Regions from separate parts of the Mus musculus genome. Here region 1 is reported to be linked to region 2. The links are microRNA targets in miRTarBase. Many come from high-throughput screens and were not tested one by one. Region 2 holds a microRNA gene; the other region holds the end of a gene's coding sequence.
Evidence for each region. The annotated mature microRNA mmu-miR-433-3p reads AUCAUGAUGGGCUCCUCGGUGU and lies in region 2 at 3,125-3,146, shown strand. An mRNA with a match to its seed (bases 2 to 7 or 8) in the 3' UTR can be bound and repressed. Matches are read on the target gene's strand: a 7mer-m8 pairs with bases 2 to 8, a 7mer-A1 pairs with bases 2 to 7 and ends in A, and an 8mer does both.

Region 1: miRTarBase lists Tmem239 as a target of mmu-miR-433-3p. Seed matches in the 3' UTR shown: 7mer-m8 at 1,500-1,506.

What each region holds. Positions count from the first base shown.
Region 1 is chr2:130,406,153-130,411,368 of GRCm38, forward strand. Tmem239 (transmembrane 239) reads left to right here and starts at 370. Exons shown (of 2, transcript NM_025753.3): 1 at 370-423; 2 at 558-1,642. The coding sequence starts at 572. The coding sequence ends at 1,027.
Region 2 is chr12:109,588,657-109,593,872 of GRCm38, forward strand. Mir433 (microRNA 433) reads left to right here and starts at 3,059; the gene lies at 3,059-3,182. Rtl1 (retrotransposon Gaglike 1) reads right to left here. Exons shown (of 2, transcript NM_184109.2): 2 at 537-5,216. The coding sequence ends at 1,513. It overlaps Mir431 (microRNA 431), which reads left to right and starts at 1,791; the gene lies at 1,791-1,881. 6430411K18Rik (RIKEN cDNA 6430411K18 gen) reads left to right here and starts at 2,881. Exons shown (of 1, transcript NR_002848.3): 1 at 2,881-4,195. It also overlaps Mir127 and Mir3070b.

The sequences.
Region 1 (5,216 bases), not on the chromosome of region 2:
GAACCTCAGGGCCTTCTAGTTCCACAATGTGGACATTTGAGAACTGTCAAAGGCATATTACCTTTGCCTGAAGCTTAGGGCATTAAGAGAAGGCAGAGAAAAGGGTAGTTACAGCAACCAACTCCAGCCATGGGGTTGGAAGCAGCCATCAAGGAGGGACAGGTGTGGGGAAGGCTTCCTACAAGAAGAAGAATGGTAGGCTTGCTGGGCTCTCCTGCTAGCCTGGAGGGACCATTAAGTAAAGGACATAAGTGACTCTCACACTATGCAGTAGCTCCTCTCTTGGCTGAGCCCCACCCCAGTCCGGGTCATAATGCACTCCTCTGGGGATGGTGGGGCAGGCGAGGGAGAGACTGGGATCTGGCTGCCAGGCCAGCCTAGACACAACAGGAAGCACCATGACTTAGGTGGCTCTGCCCAAAGGTAAGTCCTAGGCCCCAGTTCAAAGTCCAATCCTGCCCATGCTGGTATCCCCCTGACCCCTGCATGCCCACCTATCCAGAGGTCCTGGGCATCTTAAGGGCTGCCCCCTGCAGCTGGCCTGGCCCTGTCCACAGGTGCACCAGCCGTGATGCAGCAGCCACGAGTGGAGTCGGATATCATCGGGGCTGGCGAGGGGCCCCAGCGGGCAGTGCCCTGGTCAGCCTGGATCATCCGTCAGGACTGGGTGCGCTGGTGGGTATGCCACATACCTCGGAGCTGGACCCAGTGGTGGAATACATCAGGCTGGCGGCAACCACTACAGCGGATGCTGTGGGGTCTGGAGGGGACACTCTACCTGCTGCTGGCACTGATGCTATGTCACGCACTCTTCACCACGGGCTCCTACCTGCTGAGCTCGCTATGGCCCGTGGTGGCTGTGATGTGGAGCCACCTGCTGCCAGCAATCCTGCTGCTTGTGCTCAGTGCCCTGCCTGCTCTGCTCTTCGCAGCCTCCTTCCTGCTGCTCTTTTCCACACTGCTGAGCCTCGTGGGCCTGCTCACCTCCATGACTCAACCAGGCTACGCTCAGGACTTGGACCAATAGAAGGGCAACCCCATCTTACTGCTTGTGTCTGTTGAGCCCTGGCCTAGGGCCTGAGCCCCGTGGGGAGGGGGGCAGTGGAACTTCAACAGACCTCAGACCCCCCCCCCCCCAATCACAAATACAAGTGGGGGTCTGGCTTCTGGGCATCTACCTTAAACCCACATTGGTGTCAGGAACAGGACAGACAGTTTAGCCAGGAGCAAGAGCTTGGACCAACCACTGAGAGCACCCGTATGGATGTGGTAACATCACTTGGTCTTCCTGGCAGAATCTTTTAGTCACATCACCTCAGCCCTACCAGCTTCAGGCTTCCTGAGAATTTCCACCTACATACCCCTGGACTTGTCTGGATTTGTCCCGGATCCTCTCTTTCTACTTCCAGGAGGAACACACACTCTGGAATGGGTCTCACTGCCAGGACGATAGCTAGGGATCTCACCTCACTCACCTCTCAGAAATGGGAAAGAGGCCAATCATGATAGTGTGTGTGTGTGTGTGTGTGTGTGTGTGTGTGTGTGGACCCAAGGCTTTGTGCATAAGCATACACTCCACCCTACACACTCTTATTTTTTTTTTAAGAATCTCCAGGTCTGTTACAAAAAAAATCAAAGTCCTGTTTCAGCCTCCTACATCTTGGCTGATTCACTACTTTTGAACCTTGGTGTTAAGTGAGCCCCAATGCTTTCATGGGTTTGTTATGATCAAAAGTCAGTATCTATTTGCAAAATACTTTGCTGCTGTTGTTGTTTTGAAACAGGGTCTCATGAAGCCCAGGATGGCTTTGAACTATTTAGCTGAGGTGACTTTGAATTTCGGATCCTATTGTCTCTATGTCCAGGGTACTGGAATTAAAACTTGTGCCACCATGCCTGATTTTATGAAAAGTATTTGGTAAGGCCAAACAGCAGTTAAGATGTTTTGAGCTCTAAAAACATATAAGTTCAAAAGGCCTTTTGATTCAGAAGCTAAGAGATTAAATTTCTCTAGGCTTCTACAGAAACTCTGTCACTCATGGAATCCCAGCCCTAAAACAGTTGACACGGAATAGGCAGTGTGGTGAGATGTGCAAGGTGTGTGTCTCAAGCTAGGCAGACACTGGACTGTATGATCTGTGTAATGCTCGAGGCTGGAGCCTGGTGCCAGGGAACTTGTGCAATGCTGTGCTCATGGAAAAAGGAAAGCGCAGAGATTTGCAGGATTGATTAAGCAGGCTGCTTCCACCAGAGGGCTTTGGACCACCCAGGCTCCCCTGGCGTTTGGCCATTTACCTAGCGCTGAGCCTTCCAAACAAAGCTGTGAGTATCAGTTACCAAGTCAAGTGACAGACATGTTAGCCGATCTGCCCCCAGCTGGGGCCCAGACTTCAGTCCTCATCCACTGCTGACCTCTACCCAATCCCTGCTGCTTCCCAGCTCTTTATCTGGTTTAAATCTAACCTGAAAATCATTGCTTCTGAAGCCCTCTAAACACTCGTGCACCTTGAGCCATGGTTCATTTTGGCCAAAGCCTGACAGAGTTTTGAACTCTGTGTTCCTGGTAGACATCTTCATACTGGTAGATAGCTTCAGTGCCTAAAACCCCAAACCAGTGCTTCATTTTGTAGTTCCCCCTGCAGTGCGGCTGTGTGTCAAGGCCAGACATAGGGATGTTACTCCATTAATGATCTATTCCTCATCTGCTATCTGCTTCTCTCAATCTCTCTCTCTCTCTCTCTCTCTCTCTCTCTCTCTCTCACACACACACACACACACACACACACACACACGTAGTTCAGACTGTCCCCAAATTCTCTGTGTAGCTGAGGATGACCTTGACTTTTGACCCTCCTGCCCCTACCTCCCAAGGGCTAGAGTTACACCGATGTGCTCCCGTGCCTACTTTATTTGGTACCAGTGATCAAACTCAAGGTTTCCTGCATCTTAGGCAAGCGCTCTACCAAGTGAGCTACATTCCCAGCCTTGATAAGTTTTTCTGAATTTCATTTTCTACCTGAATATAACAAAGACATAGACACTTGCTTTGGGACATCTGGCCGTAATACACACACACACACACACACACACACACACACACACACACACACACACATACAAACACACACACACAGTGACTGTTTTTATTAGGAGCAGGATAACTACTCAGCACCAAGGCCAGGCTGTTTGAGTCCCAGAGCACTTTAAGAGGCTAGTAAAGAGAAAACCACATGGACTGGAGAAAATACAACTTAACTGAAAATCCTATGGCTCCTGTTAGAGAGGAAGCCCAGGCCTAATGAGTCTAGATGTCTAGAGTGCAGGGACTTCAAAGTTGTCTGTGGTGGGAATAGAGACTAAGATGCCTAGCCTGGACCATGTATCACTGGCCAGGGACATCACTGCAGAGACCTTGGGCCATTCTAGTTAAGAGGGGAGGAGGAGTTAACCAAGACCATATCCAGGGGGCACCGCGGGTGAGAACAACAAAGGGCTTTTTCACCTTTTCTTGAATCAAAATATACCTCCTGCCCCTTGACCTGCCGCTGTGGGATGGGGAGACACAGTGAAACAGGACCACAGACAGGCTGCCCTTACCTAATTAGAGGCTCTTATATTCTACAACCAAGAAACTCAAATTCTCACAGAGGGCCTTGAGGGCCTTGCTCTTTGACACATGGTTCCAAACAGTGCAGTCTAGGCCTCCCTTAGCTTTTCAGATATATAGCAACTCTGTGAGGCTGCCAAAATGACTCTATAGTTAAGAACACTTATTCTTACAAGAGAATCCTGGTTCAGTCCTCAGAATCTACATGTGCGCTCACAACCATCTGTAACTTCAATTACAGACTATATATCTGTGTGTGTGTACACACACATATGCATATATGTATATATACACATATGTATGTATATGTGTATATATGTGTATGTATATATATATGGGGGGCTTACATGTATCTGCACCATATGACTGCCAGGCATTCATGTGGTGCAGATGTATGTAAGCACGCATACATATAAAAAATTAAATTAAAAAAAAAGACTCTAGAGGGCTGGGGATGTGGTTCATTTTAGTGGAGTGTTTGCCCAGCATGCGGCCTTGGGTTTTATCCCTAGCACCACATAAACTTGGCAGTGAAGCTCTTGCCTGTAATCCTGCACTGGGGAAGTGCACTCAGGAGGAGGACAAGTTCAAGGCCAACCTTGGCTACATATCTAGTTTGGGGCCAGACTGTATTACATGAGACCACATCTAAAAAGAAAAAACAAAAAAGATTTTCCAGCTCCAACTTAGACTGCTGAGCCTGCATTTTCCAAGACTCCAAGGTGACAGGTGTGTTTTTGAGGCACTGTGTTAGGGCATGCAGTTGAGGATCGTATTGTGCTGTTGATGACGGTAATGTGGGAGGGAAAAGCATGCCGAGGAGGGGGCAATAGAAGGGGCAGAAGCTACCTGGATCAGTCTTGAGATCTTGGTATAAAACACAGTTCTCATTTCACACATTTAAAACACAGAGTGGCACAACAGTATTTCTTTTTGCAAGAACACCAAGAAACAGAGTGGCACAAAGGACTAGCCCCAAGCAAATGGAGTGGGATATCGTGTGAGAGCTTGCAGAAAAGAGAACGCTGGGCATGGCACACACCTTTAATCCCAGCACTTGGGAGGCAGAGGCAAACAGATCTGTGAGTTCGAGGTCAGCCTGGTCTACAGAGTGAGTTCCAGGACAGCCAGGGCTACACAGAGAAACCCTGTCTCGAAAAAACCAAAAAACAAAACAAAAATCAAAATAATCCCTGAAATCCCTTAAGTATACAAACCCGTCCACTTTGAGTTTAGAGGATTTAAAATGAAAGCAAATGGAAAACACACACACTGGAGTCAATGTGTCCCAAGCTTTTCCAGCTGAGCCAAGAGGAAAGAGGGGTCCCAATTGACCTGATGTCCCAAACCACTGTGTGAATATTTTTGCCCGCCCTTCCTGACCTCACCCAGTGTTTTGTGTTTTGTTTCTGATGGGGTTGGAATGAGGGGCTGGGTTCTACCAATGGTTTGCTTTACCCAGAAAAGATGGTCAGGTATGACTCAGCTGATTCATACCAGTATATTATCTTGATACTGAGGTGCGTGTGTAGTACATGCAATATGACCTTTCTATCTCTGCCTCAAGGACTAGGGAGAAAAGGACCTAGAAGGATCTCTAAAGATGGTC
Region 2 (5,216 bases):
GGTCAGGGGTAGATTCCTTGTCATGAGGCCCCTTAGGACCCATAAGGGCACAGTGACCCCAGTGCAGGCTGGAGGGGGCGTGGAGGGATGCAGTCTTGGGTTCTAAGAACTGTTTTTCTGGGATCCAAGCTCAAACATCCTGCCTGTTGACCCTCCTCAGCTGTGGGCATTGAGCACAGTCTGGCCATTCCTCATTTCTCATGTGACTAGAGGGCTGGGACCAGATGAGGGCTGGGAATTCTGGGTACCCTCCTTCTGCCCCATGAAACCCTTGGTCCATTTCCCAGAGGAGCCCAAAGTTTTGAGAGTGAATTGACTTCCCTCCCTTTAGGAGAAGACAGGAGGCCTGTTGCTCCATGTCTTCATGAGCTGTTTCTGGAGAGTCAAGCCCTCCTATCCCTGCCCCTCCCACCCTTGCCCTTGCCCATCCCAACCCTCTCTTCACACTCCATCCTTTCTGACCCCATGCTCCATGTTCTCCAGTCCTGCCTCCTACTATCCACCCTCTCCCTTTTAGAACAAACCACAAAGTCAGATAATCTTTTCTTCTCTTTATTCATGGGGCAAAAGCAGGTATGAGTTGGGAAAGCAATGGAAGGACCTCTCCTTCCTGTGGCAGTGAGCAGTGGGTCTGGTCAGAGCACTCTTGGCTCCTTGGCACAGTACTCTGGGTATCTGGGGCTTCACCAGTGTCTCTTGGGGGCTCCCTCCTTTATGGAAGGTCTCTGTCCCCTGCACTGTCCATATGTCCATTTGGGGAGGGAAAAGGGAGCCCCACTTGGTTGCTACCACCCTTTCTTGGGTCCTCTGAGTCTCAGGGACCTTCAGGGTGGATCAGTCCATCTGGTAAGTCACACTGGTACGTCGAATGCTCCTTGGAGCAGTTCTGCCCAGGTAAGATCAGAGTTCAGGGTCAGATGAGGTGTCAATGGAGCCGGACCAGACCGGTAGTGGGTGGGTGGGTTGTGGGGGGGGGGGTGGACTTGCTTGCAGGGTGGGCTGGGGTTGTGGAAAGCATGGAACCACAGCACCTTGGGAGACTGGGAGGGAGTAGGGGCGTGTCCAGGGGAGTCGGAGCACCGGTGTAGAGGTAGAAGTCCGTGGAGCACCCAAGGTCAGTGTCCCAGGATGCACAGGTGGCCGCCTGCCACTCAGGGGGTGGTGGTGGGGTCACTGGCATCTGCTTGCTTGGCTGCACCTGCTGTATCTGCTCTGCATCTGGCCTGGGGTGACGGGGTCACTGTTGCTCATCACTGCTCTCTCCTCATTGGTCTCACTCCCTTTTGTGGGCCTGGGGCCCGGACAGTTAGGACAGTTAGGGTTACACAGTCTTGGCTGGTTCTGGGACGCTGATAGTTGGCTAGTTCTTTAGCACAGATGATGTTGCTGGTTGATGAAGTTGTGGCCCTTCACAAGTGGGTTCCCCTTGGGTTAGGAGTAGCAAGAGGGTGTGCTGGATCTGAGCGAAGCTGGCCGAGGCACAAGGGAAAATGACAGTGACTTGGTGTGTTTTCAGTCAAGTTCATCATCTGAGTCTGATAGCTCTTCTAGCCTTGCCTGTTCCCTGGCTGGGGAAGGCAGCGCCATTCTGGAGGCCATGGCCAGGAATCGTGTGAGGGCCTGGGCCACCTGATCTCTGCTAAGCAGAGTAAGGCGGCCATCGGTGCCCAGGGTGTAGAGTAGCCGGTTGTTGAGGAAATCTAGGACCTCTGGGTCCAAAAGATTTCGTGGTCTGAAGGTGACCGCTTCCTGGTCGCCAAACAGGTCCTCTTGCACGTCGTTGTCCTGCGCGTCCTGCGAGGTGTCTTGCAGGCCGTCATGCAGGCCACACTGACGGTAACGTTGCAGGTCGTCTTGCAGGGCTTCTCGCAAGACGACATCTTCATCCCCAACGACGTGCAGTTCCAAGTACCGGTGCTGGTAAGGGTCAGGAAAGACGTCATCCTCAGGGTTGACTCTGACCCCAAAGAACTCACACAGGGTCAACCAGAACCCAGGGGTGAAGCGCATCCCCCGTGGAGGCTGGGAATGCAGAGCATTCCGATGCCAGCACCTTGGGCCCAGGAAAAGCTCAGCCAGCTCTCGAGCTGGGAGGGTGTTGGCACCCACTAGAGGGGGCATCTGGCTGAGCAACTGAGCGATGGCTGTGGCCATGCCACTACTCGCAATGAGGGTCGAGTCCAGGATGAGTCGGAGTGTGTGCCGGTGCTGAGGCCTGGCCACTTCCAAATTAGGGGCAGGCACTGGGGAGAGGGGCTGCCTTGCTCTCAACATCACCAGGACAGCTGCCACACCCAGGAGACTCTTCCAGTAGAGCAGGCCACGGAAGAAGTTTAGGACAACGGCCCGGATCTGGGCCACACTGAAGTGAGCCAGTAAGCCATTGAGGATATGGTCCATCGGGATGGCAGCCAGTAGCTCCCGCACCATGCTGGGCACCTCCTCATCTTCTTCCTCCTCATCCTCTTCTTCCTCATCTTCCTCCTCCTCTTCTTCCTCCTCTTCCTCCTCCTCCTCTTCTTCCTCCTCTTCTTCCTCCTCTTCCTCTTCCTCCTCCTCTTCCTCCTCATCCTCTTCTTCCTCCTCTTCCTCCTCTCCTTCTTCCTCCTCCTCTCCCTCCTCCTCCCCTTCTTCTTCTTCACCATCTTCCTCCTCCTCCCCTTCTTCTTCTTCACCATCTTCCTCCTCCTCCCCTTCTTCTTCTTCACCATCTTCCTCCTCCTCCCCTTCTTCTTCTTCATCATCTTCCTCCTCCTCCTCTTCTTCTTCACCATCTTCCTCCTCCTCCCCTTCTTCTTCTTCACCATCTTCCTCCTCCTCCCCTTCTTCTTCTTCACCATCTTCCTCCTCCTCTTCTTCATCATCCTCTTTATCCTCAGTCTCAGAGGATCTGTCAAAGTACCTTAGATTTGCCCTAATGGACATAAGCAGCAGTGGGCGCAGAAACCTTGCTCTGAAGCCTCTCTGGTTCCAACATCTGCGGAAGAGTGCTTGTGTGTCACCTTCAGCTGGCATCTCCATAACACCAAAATTGAAGTGTGAGAAGAAGAAGACCCAATGCCCGGGGAGAAGTACGGTGAGCCTGTCATTATTCAGAGAGGCTAGATCCTCTGTGTTGAGAAGGATCATGATGGGCTCCTCGGTGTTCTCCAGGTAGCGGCACCACACCATGAAGGCAGCCCGGATTGGAAGGATCCTCATCTCCACTCGAGGGTACTCCACCTCCATTGTAGAGAGGGGTCTTGAATAGAAAGCACAGGTAGATTTCTTGCCAGTTTCGTCGTCGGTTTGGACCAGGGAGGCAGACAGGAATGACCCAGTGATGTCTGTTTCCAAGTAGAATGGGTTCTGAGGCTTAGGGTGATAGAGAACGGGCGACTTGCGGAAAGCCCTCTTCAGGGATTCCAAGGCCTCCTGCTCCTCTTCTCCCCAGTAGTAGGGCTCTGAACTCAGCAGTTGTCTCACTAGGGGTGCTGCGATGACAGCGAAGTTCTCCACGAAGTGGCGATAGGGATAGACAAGGTCAATCACACTTTGAAGACACCTCCTGCTGCCAGGGACAGGGCACCCCACGATGAGGTTCATAAGGTTCTTGTTCAGTTTCACCCCTTTGGGGGATATGTTGAAGCCCAAGATTTCAGCGGTCTGGCGATGGAACTGAGTTTTGTCCAGTGAACAGTAGATGTTGTGATACCGAAAGCGGACCAGGACTTGGCGGACATGCTGGGAGTGTTCCTCCTGGCTCATTGAGTAGACCAGGACCTCTCTGCCATGGCAAATCACAAACAACCCTAGGATGTCTTTTAGGATGAAGTGAACAATGTTGTTCCCTTCGTCAGAGTATGAGTTCATTGTGAAGGGCCGGTAGCATCTCATCTGGTGAAGGCCGAAACCGAACGATGCTCTCCAAGTGTCTTCCGTGTGTGTGACCGTGTGCCTCATCTCACTTTCCTTAATCCCAAGCAGCTCCAGTTTTGTGAACCATGCCGCTCCATGTAGCTGGTCGAATAGCTCTGGTACCATCTGCGTGTAGTCTTGTCTGTCAGTCAGCATGTCATACAGTATCCAGTATTCCTCTTGCTCCCTGGCTTTCTCTTGCTGCCTGGCTTTCTCTTGCATCCTGGCGCTCACAGGTTCCAAAGTCTCTCGGGCCCCAGACTCGTAAAAGACGCCGCTTTGATCACTGTCTCCAGCCTGCTGAAGCTCAGAGGGCTCTGATTCAGAAAGATCATCGGATCCGTCTGAGCTTGGCTGGTCGGAAGTCTCATCATCTGCCTCCCTCGGGTTAAACACGTCGGCCAGGTCTGAGTATGTGTGTGGCAATCCGGGCAGTAGGCTTATGCTGTATGTCTCTAGTGCGATGCATGGTGGAGGTGGGGTGAAGCAATTCCGCAGACAGTAGGGAGAGTGGAAGGTACACCGGCCTCTCATCCAGTCGACTTCAGGGGCATGGGTTCGGAGCCACTTCATGCCTAAGACGATGGAGAAGTTGGGCGAAGGTAAGATGTCAAATTCGATGTACTCATAATGCTTCTGGTGGACACATACCAGGGGCTCGGTGCACAGCCAGACGGGTTCATTGCCAATTGGGATGCCATCCACACCTTGGATTATCTGTGGATAAGGCTTCTCATAGAGTTCCACATAGTGTTCCTGGGCAAACCTCTCATCCATGTAGTTCCCTTCTGCTCCTGAGTCCACCAGGGCCCGCACTGCGACACTGTGGTAGGGGTCCACTCTCACCAAGAGCAGTAAGAAGAGGTGATCGCGATCAATGTCTGGGTGGAACTCATTGGGCAGCCAGCTGCTTACCCTCCACTTCTCTGGGGCGGGAGCATCCATCCAGGCTACGCTTCTTGGGCGCGACTCAGGTGGCAGCCTGAGTAATGCTCTTCTCTCTGCCAGCTTTTCTTCAAGTTGCAGGACAAGTACAATCAGGTTGTCTAGGGAATTCGGCTGAGGGATCCGGAACAGATAGTGCCTGATCTCTTCGTTGAGCCCCTGGCACAGGTGGGCCTGCAGGACTTCATCTGGCCAGCCTAAGGTGGGTATCAGACCCCGGAACTCATTGATGTAATCGGCCGCACAGCGGTTCCCCTGCCTGATGTTGAACATGGCGTCTTCCGCCACACGCAGGGTCTGCCGATACTCAAACTTTTCTGACATGGCCTCCAGGAAGGCTGAGAAGTTGTTTATCACTGGGCTGTTCTGCTCTA